Drosophila melanogaster: one gene and its partner. The protein of the gene in region 1 interacts with the protein of each later gene in a pairwise test. Each region holds a gene or a part of one and is shown on either strand. Other genes may lie near its edges.

Region 1 (4,121 bases):
TTTTTTTACGTTAGTATCGGCTTAAAAATATCAATTTTGTTTATTAAAAACTGGAGAGACCGCCGTAGTCGAGTAGCTCGAATATCACATACATACCACTTCCAATTTGCAGGTACGCGAGGGACTCGAGAAAGGCTTTTCACTTGTTTTTTATCTGTGGTATTTAGACATAATACGTTTAGGAACCGAGAATAGTGTTTTAAATTGCCTTTTTAACGACTTTTATCGAATGCTTCTAGGTTCATTGGTGGTGGATGTTTAACTTTTTAGTGTTTTTTCTCCGCTAAACTAGTCGTTTTTTTTTAATATATAATAATAATAAAATCGCTCGGTTCACCAGGACACTTAAAATACATGGCGTATTTAAATGAGTTAAAATTAACATATTTGAAACTTTTCCGAACGAAGAATCAGAAATCATTACACTTTTTATTTTTGGCAAAATACCACTTCTACTCCCTATTACCAACCTACTGGACAACCTACCTTCGCTGCGTTACCCTTCCGTCACAACGTGGACTGCTGTCCACATTGATCCTTAACTTAAAATGTAATCACTCCGCTTGGAATTTTAATTTAAAATTTAAATATTGTTTTTATTTATTCAAGGGCTTACAACACGCCCCTGGAAATATATGGTGTTCGCATCGCGAATGACGAAGGCAAAGGGATGATCGGCCATGAGGAACGTAGAAAATCCCGCTCGATTTGTGACGGCCACAGCTGGGAATCATTGGGAACAGTGAGTATATAGGAGTCAACATTCGACGCTGATAACCAAATCGGTACTTACATGTGGCACCTGCGGCCTCCGCTCCCTCCTCGTTCACCTCCAGAAACGCCTTGTGCGAGACCTGACTGACTTTGCCGCCTGACTTATCGGCGAACAAGCCGCTTAAGTCTGACTTGTCGGTGAATAGCTCTCGGATGCCCAGCTTAAATAGAATCGAGCGTCAAAGTGGCACAACCGTGTTTTTCTTGACGGAGTCTTACCTTCTCTAAGGTCTCTTTGAGTTCATCACGAAATTCGATTTTAAACTTGGGCAGCTTAAGATAGACCTCCTTGGCAACCAGCGGCCTGGCGAAGCCAACGATCTTCTCTTCCAGGGCGCTCAAGCCCTCCACTTCTCGGGGCAGAAAGATAGTCATGGACAGGTTGGAGTTAAGGTACGGCAGCTCGATGACTTGGGCATCTAGATCGCGGAAGTAGTTAGCCCTGAATGTTCCCATTTGCGCCATCATCTGGACGGGCACACTCTTGTTCGCAGTTACTTGGAAGGTGGAGGCTCTGGTCTTAGCTGGGTCAAACTTCGACTCCCACTGGCCCTTAAAGTAGATGGCGTTCACCAGCAAGGCCTTCACGTCGGACGTCATGCTGCCGGGATCGATCATGCCCTTGATTTTACCACTGGTCTGATCCAGCACCCACTGGTTGATTCTCTCGGCCGCCACAGGGCCATTGGTCAGACTAATGGACTCCGCCTCGGACTTGAAGGGTTCCCTCACAGCGAGGTTGTAGTTCTGATTCAGGCTGTACTGGTCGTTGACGTAGATGCGATTCGCGAGCTTTAGTATGGGTCCCTCCTCCTGTCCCTGAAGATCGTTGAGGAGAGCACCGTACCTGGCTGCCACCGCCTCTTTGTCCTCCGATGGTAAACCTAAGGCGCTCTGCAGCTCCTTGGCCGTCGAGCCTTCTGCGCCCATGAAGACCATGCTAAGGATGGTCTCTATGGAGACGGGCGAGACGACGAGGTTCTGGTTTGTATGGCTCTTGGAAAGTAGTTGGTAGATCTCTTTGGAGGTCTGACATGCCACTGAAGTGACCCACAGGAAAATGCCTAGTTTGGGGATGTTAATTATCAATTCGTTTTCAGCGTTCGGAAATTCTGTTCATGCATATTAAACTTGATATTTTTTACTTTTACAGACTAAAGCAAATCGAATTCAACGAAAGCGGATAGTCTTTGTAAGTTAAAAGTTAATGCCATAGCAAACGTCTTCACCATATTGTTTTATTATTTTCTATGAATTTAATTTAAATCATAAGTTATTATAGGTAATTTATTGCTTTGTATTTTAATTCACTGGCTATAAGCGATCGCCACTTACACAAGTAATACATTTGACCGTCTACAACGAACTCTTCCCCGAGATAAGTATCTCTGTAAACTGAGCGCCGAGTGCCAAGACGAGCTCATATATGCACTGGACATATATGTACCTACTGGCGATACTTCATTACGTTACTGAGAACTGCGCACACAGCTCTCTCGGATTGAAATCCAATGACGTCTAGTGGGATTTCATAGCTGAGTTCTATTCGGTCTCACTGCTGTTCTTAGACATTGTACATGTTGGCATCGAAACCTTCCCGTGACAAGCCCTCCTCTCCTGATCCAGATCCAGACTTGGGGTTCGAGAATCGGCCGGCGAAGAAGACGGCCTGCGGGTTTCGTATGTAAAAGACGAACGGGTGATCCGCCTTGAAGAGCTTCTTGTTCATGTTGAGCATCATGGGTACTATCTTCATGACTGAGTGTGGGAATCAGAGTTGAGATTAGTACGAGCAAGTTTGAGTTGCAAGCAGCTGATTTCACTTACAACTGACTGCTGCTGCCTCCGATCCTGCCTCATTTACGTCGATGTAGCCGCGGTGCCTTGCTGCCGAGATTTTTTGGCCACTTTGCGAGGTAAAGAGCCCGTCTAGCTTGGCCTTATCGCTGAAGACTTCCGTAATACCCAGCTGAGAATAAATATCAGATATTACATTGTTATTAAAACAAAGCCACTATTATCGGTTAAATGTATCTTACCTGATTAAGTACCTGCTTGAGGTCCACGTCGTACTCTATGCACATCCTGGGCAGAAAGATCTCGACATCCTGCAAGGTCAGCGCTGCGTCAATATCGGCTAGATCCACGGTGTTGAGTTGCTGCTCTAACTCCTGCAGACCGTTTACTTCGTTGGGCAGCAGAATTAGCATGTGAATGTTTGAGTAATCATAGGGCAGTTGCACAGCTCGAGCCTTCAGCTGTGGCAGTTCTGCGAACCGGAACTTGTCCTCTTGGTACATCATATTCACCTGCACGTGAGTGTCCCGGTCCACGTGGAAATGGTCAATCGATGTGGTCTCTGGCATAAATGGTTTCTGCCACTTTCCCTTAAAGTACAAGACATTGATGAGCAGGGCGCTCGTTTCGTTGTTCACGGCATCCGATTGAAGCAGGTTGGTGATCTTATGCTCCGTCTCCTGTTCCACCCAGTCGTTGATCAGCTGCGTAGCTCCCTCCGAATCGGCGAACCTCGTCGCCTCGGCCTTCGACTGGAAGAAGTCCACGGCGATCTCGTTGAACTCGGTAAGCAGTTCCAAGGAATCGTTGACGTACAATCGGTTCACGGACTTCAACACGGGTCCCCTGTCGCCGTAGTTACAGCTCGTGCGCCAGAACTCTCCGAAGTTTAGGGCTATGTGATGGCGATCTCCTGGTCCTAGCTGAAGCCCATTCCTTAGCTCCTCTGCTGTAGATCCGGAAGCCCCCATAAATGCCAAGGTCAATGCACTTTGGACGGATGCTGGAGAGAAAACCGTATTTATGTGGGGGTCTTTGCTCTGTTGCAGGGCATCTTTGGTAATGACATCTATCAGATTTCGCGCAAACTGATTTCTGCCTTCTTGGGGTTCGCTCATCTCGATCTGGGCAAAAAAATATATGTTTTAATTTATATTTTTAAATACTTAAATGTAACATAAGTATACAAAAATAAGACATTTTCGGGCCAAATCTCATTATCTCATTTGGCATTATCGCCAGCTGTTAAGCGCCAACTTGATCAATCCAGAACAATTTCGAATTCGGATTCAATCTTTAATAAAATAAAACATTTTCAAAATTGCCTATGCTAATTAAAAATAAATCCGAAATCCCAGAATGACGTATTAGCTTACAACTGCTACTAGGTGCTACTATTTATTTTAAAATAATAATAATAATTCCCTATTATATTTTTAATAGAACCGATGTAGAAAGTAAAGTGAAGTCAACTAGAACTTGCTTTCGTCATAACAAATTGCCTTATAGCAAACGACGCGATAGTAATTCAAAGATAAAATAACACACGT
Region 2 (4,002 bases), on another chromosome or scaffold:
CCGCGATCCTCATCCTTCATCGATTCTGAACGATATCCCGGGTAATCGTAAGGACGAATTAAATCACTAATTACCTTTTTAACCTGGACGAACGACTGCGAAAAGTGGAACGTGATTCCGGCGGACAATAGACGATACTGGATGCGAACTCCCAGATCTCTGAGCTGGCTCTCCGCCACGGGATGGCTGCTGGGCTTAGGCACCCGGTGCTCGATGACGTCGAAGGCCAAAACAGGACTGCGAAACAGCATGTATTCATCCGTGTTCCTGGCCACGTAATCCGCGTAGTTGTAGCTGCACCAGGACCGTTCGGCGAACATGTAGTTCTCGTCAAACAGACTCTTGTCAATAAAGGATCGCTCTTGCTGAAACTTTATATAAAAAATAGTAAAGAGTGAAGGCAATAAACAGTCTTAGGATCAACTCACTTCCTGGGTATTGACCAAGTTGCGATCCACGAGATCGTCGCTACGGTAAGCACCTAATGGCTCCATGCACATGCTAGAAAGGCCCGCCTTGACGTTGGCCCAGTCGCACTCCTTTAGAATTGTCCGCTCGTAATAAAGTCCGCCCAAACTAATTCGCAATATTGGGGTGTATCGTATTCGCTTGATGCCACCCATGCTCTGGTCGGTAAAGTACTCCGAGTTTTTAAGCTGGAAGTTCAGCTCCTCGGCGTAGACTCCCAGATCGAAGGCGTGACCAGTGGGAGTGTCGCAGGACGAGGAAGGCGCCTCAGTATCGAAACTGGGCAGTAGGCTCCAGGCCCACCAAAAGACGCTTCGTCCTGCGGATTCGGTCCCCTGTTGCGACTCGCTGCCCTCAGCTACCGCCTCCTGATCTTCTGGATTCTGGGGGTCATCCTCAAACTCGGCTGGCTTAAGCTCGAGCAGCATTTTGACCAGCCTCATCACCATGGGGAACTGCAGAGATGACACGTTGATATCCAGCGACTTCGTGAAAACTCCAATGCGTGTTGTGCTTGTTGTGGACACCGTGTTGGCGTTGTACTTGCGGAGAACCCGGCACTCCAGAGTACATCGGTAGAGAACCGGCTCCTGGCACACCTCTATCCTACCAGCTGTGTTGCGCTTGTCCAAGCAGATGGTCAAATCTGAGACCTGGAGCAACTTGCGCATGACGACGGACACCGGGTGTATGTCCACCATAGTGGGCTTCCAGTCCTCGCCGGCGGAGCTAAAGTTAAGGGTCTGCACATTCATAGAGACCACGATGTCGTCCTCCACATACTTCAGGATGATGTTGTGGCACTGCAGGTTGATGTTGTTGATGATTTTGTTGACCACGCTGGAAGAGCTTGCCGGTCCAGGACTCTTCGTCTGATCCGGCTGCTCCACGGACTCCCGCTTCGATTTCCTTCGCTGCTCCCGCTGGAAGGAGGCCCTGCGCTGCTTGCTCTCACTATCCGGCAACTTGGCCACGAATTCTATGGTATTGATGACGATCTTCACGGGCTCGGACATAAGCTTGGTCCACGGCACCAGGATGCTGAGTTCATGAATGTGGCCGGAAACTAGTTCTACTGGGAGGTTCAGCTCTTCCTCGAGCACCTCCAGGCGCAGGTCCAGATTCTGGAAGGTGACCTCGCCTTCCCACAGCGACACTTGGGCATCCTCGTCGCGGAAGTTCTTCACGTACTTGGCCACGTAGCTCAGCAGAATCGGAGTGATGTAGGACTCCAGTTTGAACATGGTGTGGCGACGCCGGAGGCTCAGGCCTCGATCCCAGCGCTGTTGACTGCTCACTTATATGACACTCTTCATTTAATGCGTTGCCGGCGGTTAACTTGAATTTACATGCTGTGAATTTTGCTACAATTCTGGGCCGAATATGTTTAACAAAACAAACATAGCCATAGAATTTTGGATTGTTTACGTTTCAGCCCCGGCAATCTGCCAATCGTTATCGTTATCGGAAGGTGCGAATTGGCAATCGATAAATTAACCTGTGAATTGCGAAGTGTAAATAAGCCTTCGAACAGCTGATTATTTTGTTGACGTTTAACGTGCAGCGGTAGGCTTTCACAATTTCATAAAAATGCCGCAAATTACGGAAAATGGCCAGGATTTTGGTGAGCTAAGAATGGGTCTAAAGTTACGCAGAAGTGATAATACAAGCTTTCACCCTTAGATGTGGTCAAATACTTCCTGCAGCTCCTGGACGAGGACAAGGATCTGTCCTCCGGCATTGCGGCTATCAGGACTCTGCTAATGATCCTGGAAAAGAAACAATGTTAGTGGGCTAATAAACCTCTTTACTGAACCATTTTAAATCATCTACAACATATTCCTCAGTTGGAACCATTCATATTCTACACACAACCATGAGGGAAGCGGTGGCTGCCATGCGGAATACGGATTTGTCTATAGCAGCCATTGTTTCTGCCGGAGAGCTCTTTTGCAGGTTCATCACCCTCAGTCTGGACGACAAGCACATGGAGGAGTGCCGGCAGATTATGTTGAATCGCGGAAAAATCTTCCTCACCAAGTTGCTCAATTCCCGGCAGGTTGGCTCTCATACGAAAAGCTAGTGCTAGCGCATGAACTAACCCCTCATTGTACCACCCAATCCAGGTGATTGCCCAGCAGGCCCAAAGGTTCATTACCGATGGCTGCCGTATATTGACGCACTCCCGATCCCGGGTGGTCCTCAAGGCGCTGATTACAGCCTCGCAGAACAAAAAGTCCTTCCACGTTTATGTGACGCAGGGCGGCACGGGAAACTCTGGGTAAGCTAGGGTGTGTTTCCGATAGAATTCAGGTGTAAGCATTGTCCGTTCTTAGCGAAGAGATGGTTAAGGATCTGCATGCGGCCGGCATCGATTGCACGCTCATTCTGGACTCAGCCACCGGCTATGTTATGGAATCGGTGGACTTTGTGCTTGTGGGGGCTGAAGCCGTGGTGGAGAGTGGTGGCATTATCAACCGCATTGGCACCTACACCATGGGTCTGTGCGCCCGTGAGATGAAGAAACCTTTCTACGTTCTGGCCGAAAGCTTCAAGTTCAGCCGTCTGTATCCACTCAATCAGCGCGATCTGCCAAACGAGTACAAGGTAGGTTCTTACTGCGTCATTAAAGCAGGAACGGCGATTAAGAGTGGGTTTATTTATAGTACTCCCGCAAACACCTAAACGATGTAAGCAAAGTGCACCCGCTGGTCGACTATACGCCACCCGTCTACATCACCCTGCTCTTCACCGACCTCGGAAGACTAACACCCTCGGCCGTAAGCGACGAGTTGATCAAACTCTACATGTAAGGGCGAATAAAGATATTGCACTTAAATACCTTTGTTTAATATGACTGTTTGAGATGAATAAATAGGGGCTCGACATTACTGAATGTACATAAGCTATAAAGCTAGTTACTCTCGCTTACACCTATGTAGAATTTATATTGTGTCTTAGAACCGCATCCTTCGCGAATAGCTCGCGTCTACCTCGTCTTCTGACCCCCAGGGATCGTAGATGTCCACGCTGTAGTGGGACGCTTCGCTGTTGCCATCGTCGTTTGTGTACTCCTCATCTGTATAGATGTCACTGCCGCTTTCGTCGTCCGACCAGTGATCGTGCATCCTAAACTGATCGTCGAGGCCATCCTGAACGTCGTCCACATCGCTGGCATTCTAAACAAAAAAAATACCAATTTATAATGCCACATATGCATTTTAATAACAAGCAACAATAACCGTAAAAAAAACATAACAATCAAGTAAACAGGTTTTAAAATACGAGTATCAACGAATTAGATTTGCAAGACAACTGCATCACTCACAAATTGCCCGGACTGAATGTTGATCTCGATCTGCAGGCGGATGTCCATGACGAGAAATGCAGTTGTGACTATGACAGGGATGGTGAGACGACTTTTCCAAGCGAGGTCCGTGAGAAACATGAAGACTTTACCGAACGTGGATTCCATTGTGATTTTGTTAATGCTCAACCGAGGGCTTATCCTCCTACTCCTCCTCCTGAGCTTCT

The links.
Region 2: the proteins of Spn42Dd (region 1) and eIF2Balpha interact in a two-hybrid assay, tested with the Drosophila melanogaster proteins (one large-scale study listed by BioGRID).

The regions. Positions count from the first base shown.
Region 1 is NT_033778.4:6,881,331-6,885,451, reverse strand, and holds Spn42Dd (serpin 42Dd), read right to left. Parts: upstream 2,173-4,121; 5' UTR 2,123-2,172; coding exon 2,110-2,122; exon of another isoform or gene 2,045-2,109; intron 1,839-2,044; coding exon 994-1,838; intron 936-993; coding exon 794-935; intron 724-793; coding exon 605-723; 3' UTR 579-604; downstream 1-578. Other genes in the region: Spn42Dc (serpin 42Dc), read right to left, coding at 2,339-2,532, 2,602-2,743, 2,814-3,689.
Region 2 is NT_033777.3:29,933,884-29,937,885, reverse strand, and holds eIF2Balpha (eukaryotic translation initiation factor 2B subunit alpha), read left to right. Parts: upstream 1-1,997; 5' UTR 1,998-2,058; coding exon 2,059-2,092; intron 2,093-2,151; coding exon 2,152-2,253; intron 2,254-2,315; coding exon 2,316-2,527; intron 2,528-2,594; coding exon 2,595-2,749; intron 2,750-2,804; coding exon 2,805-3,075; intron 3,076-3,134; coding exon 3,135-3,281; 3' UTR 3,282-3,304; downstream 3,305-4,002. Other genes in the region: Vps13B (vacuolar protein sorting 13B), read right to left, coding at 1-371, 429-1,712; CG42558 (uncharacterized protein), read right to left, coding at 3,426-3,647, 3,797-3,943; CG42557 (uncharacterized protein), read right to left, coding at 3,981-4,002.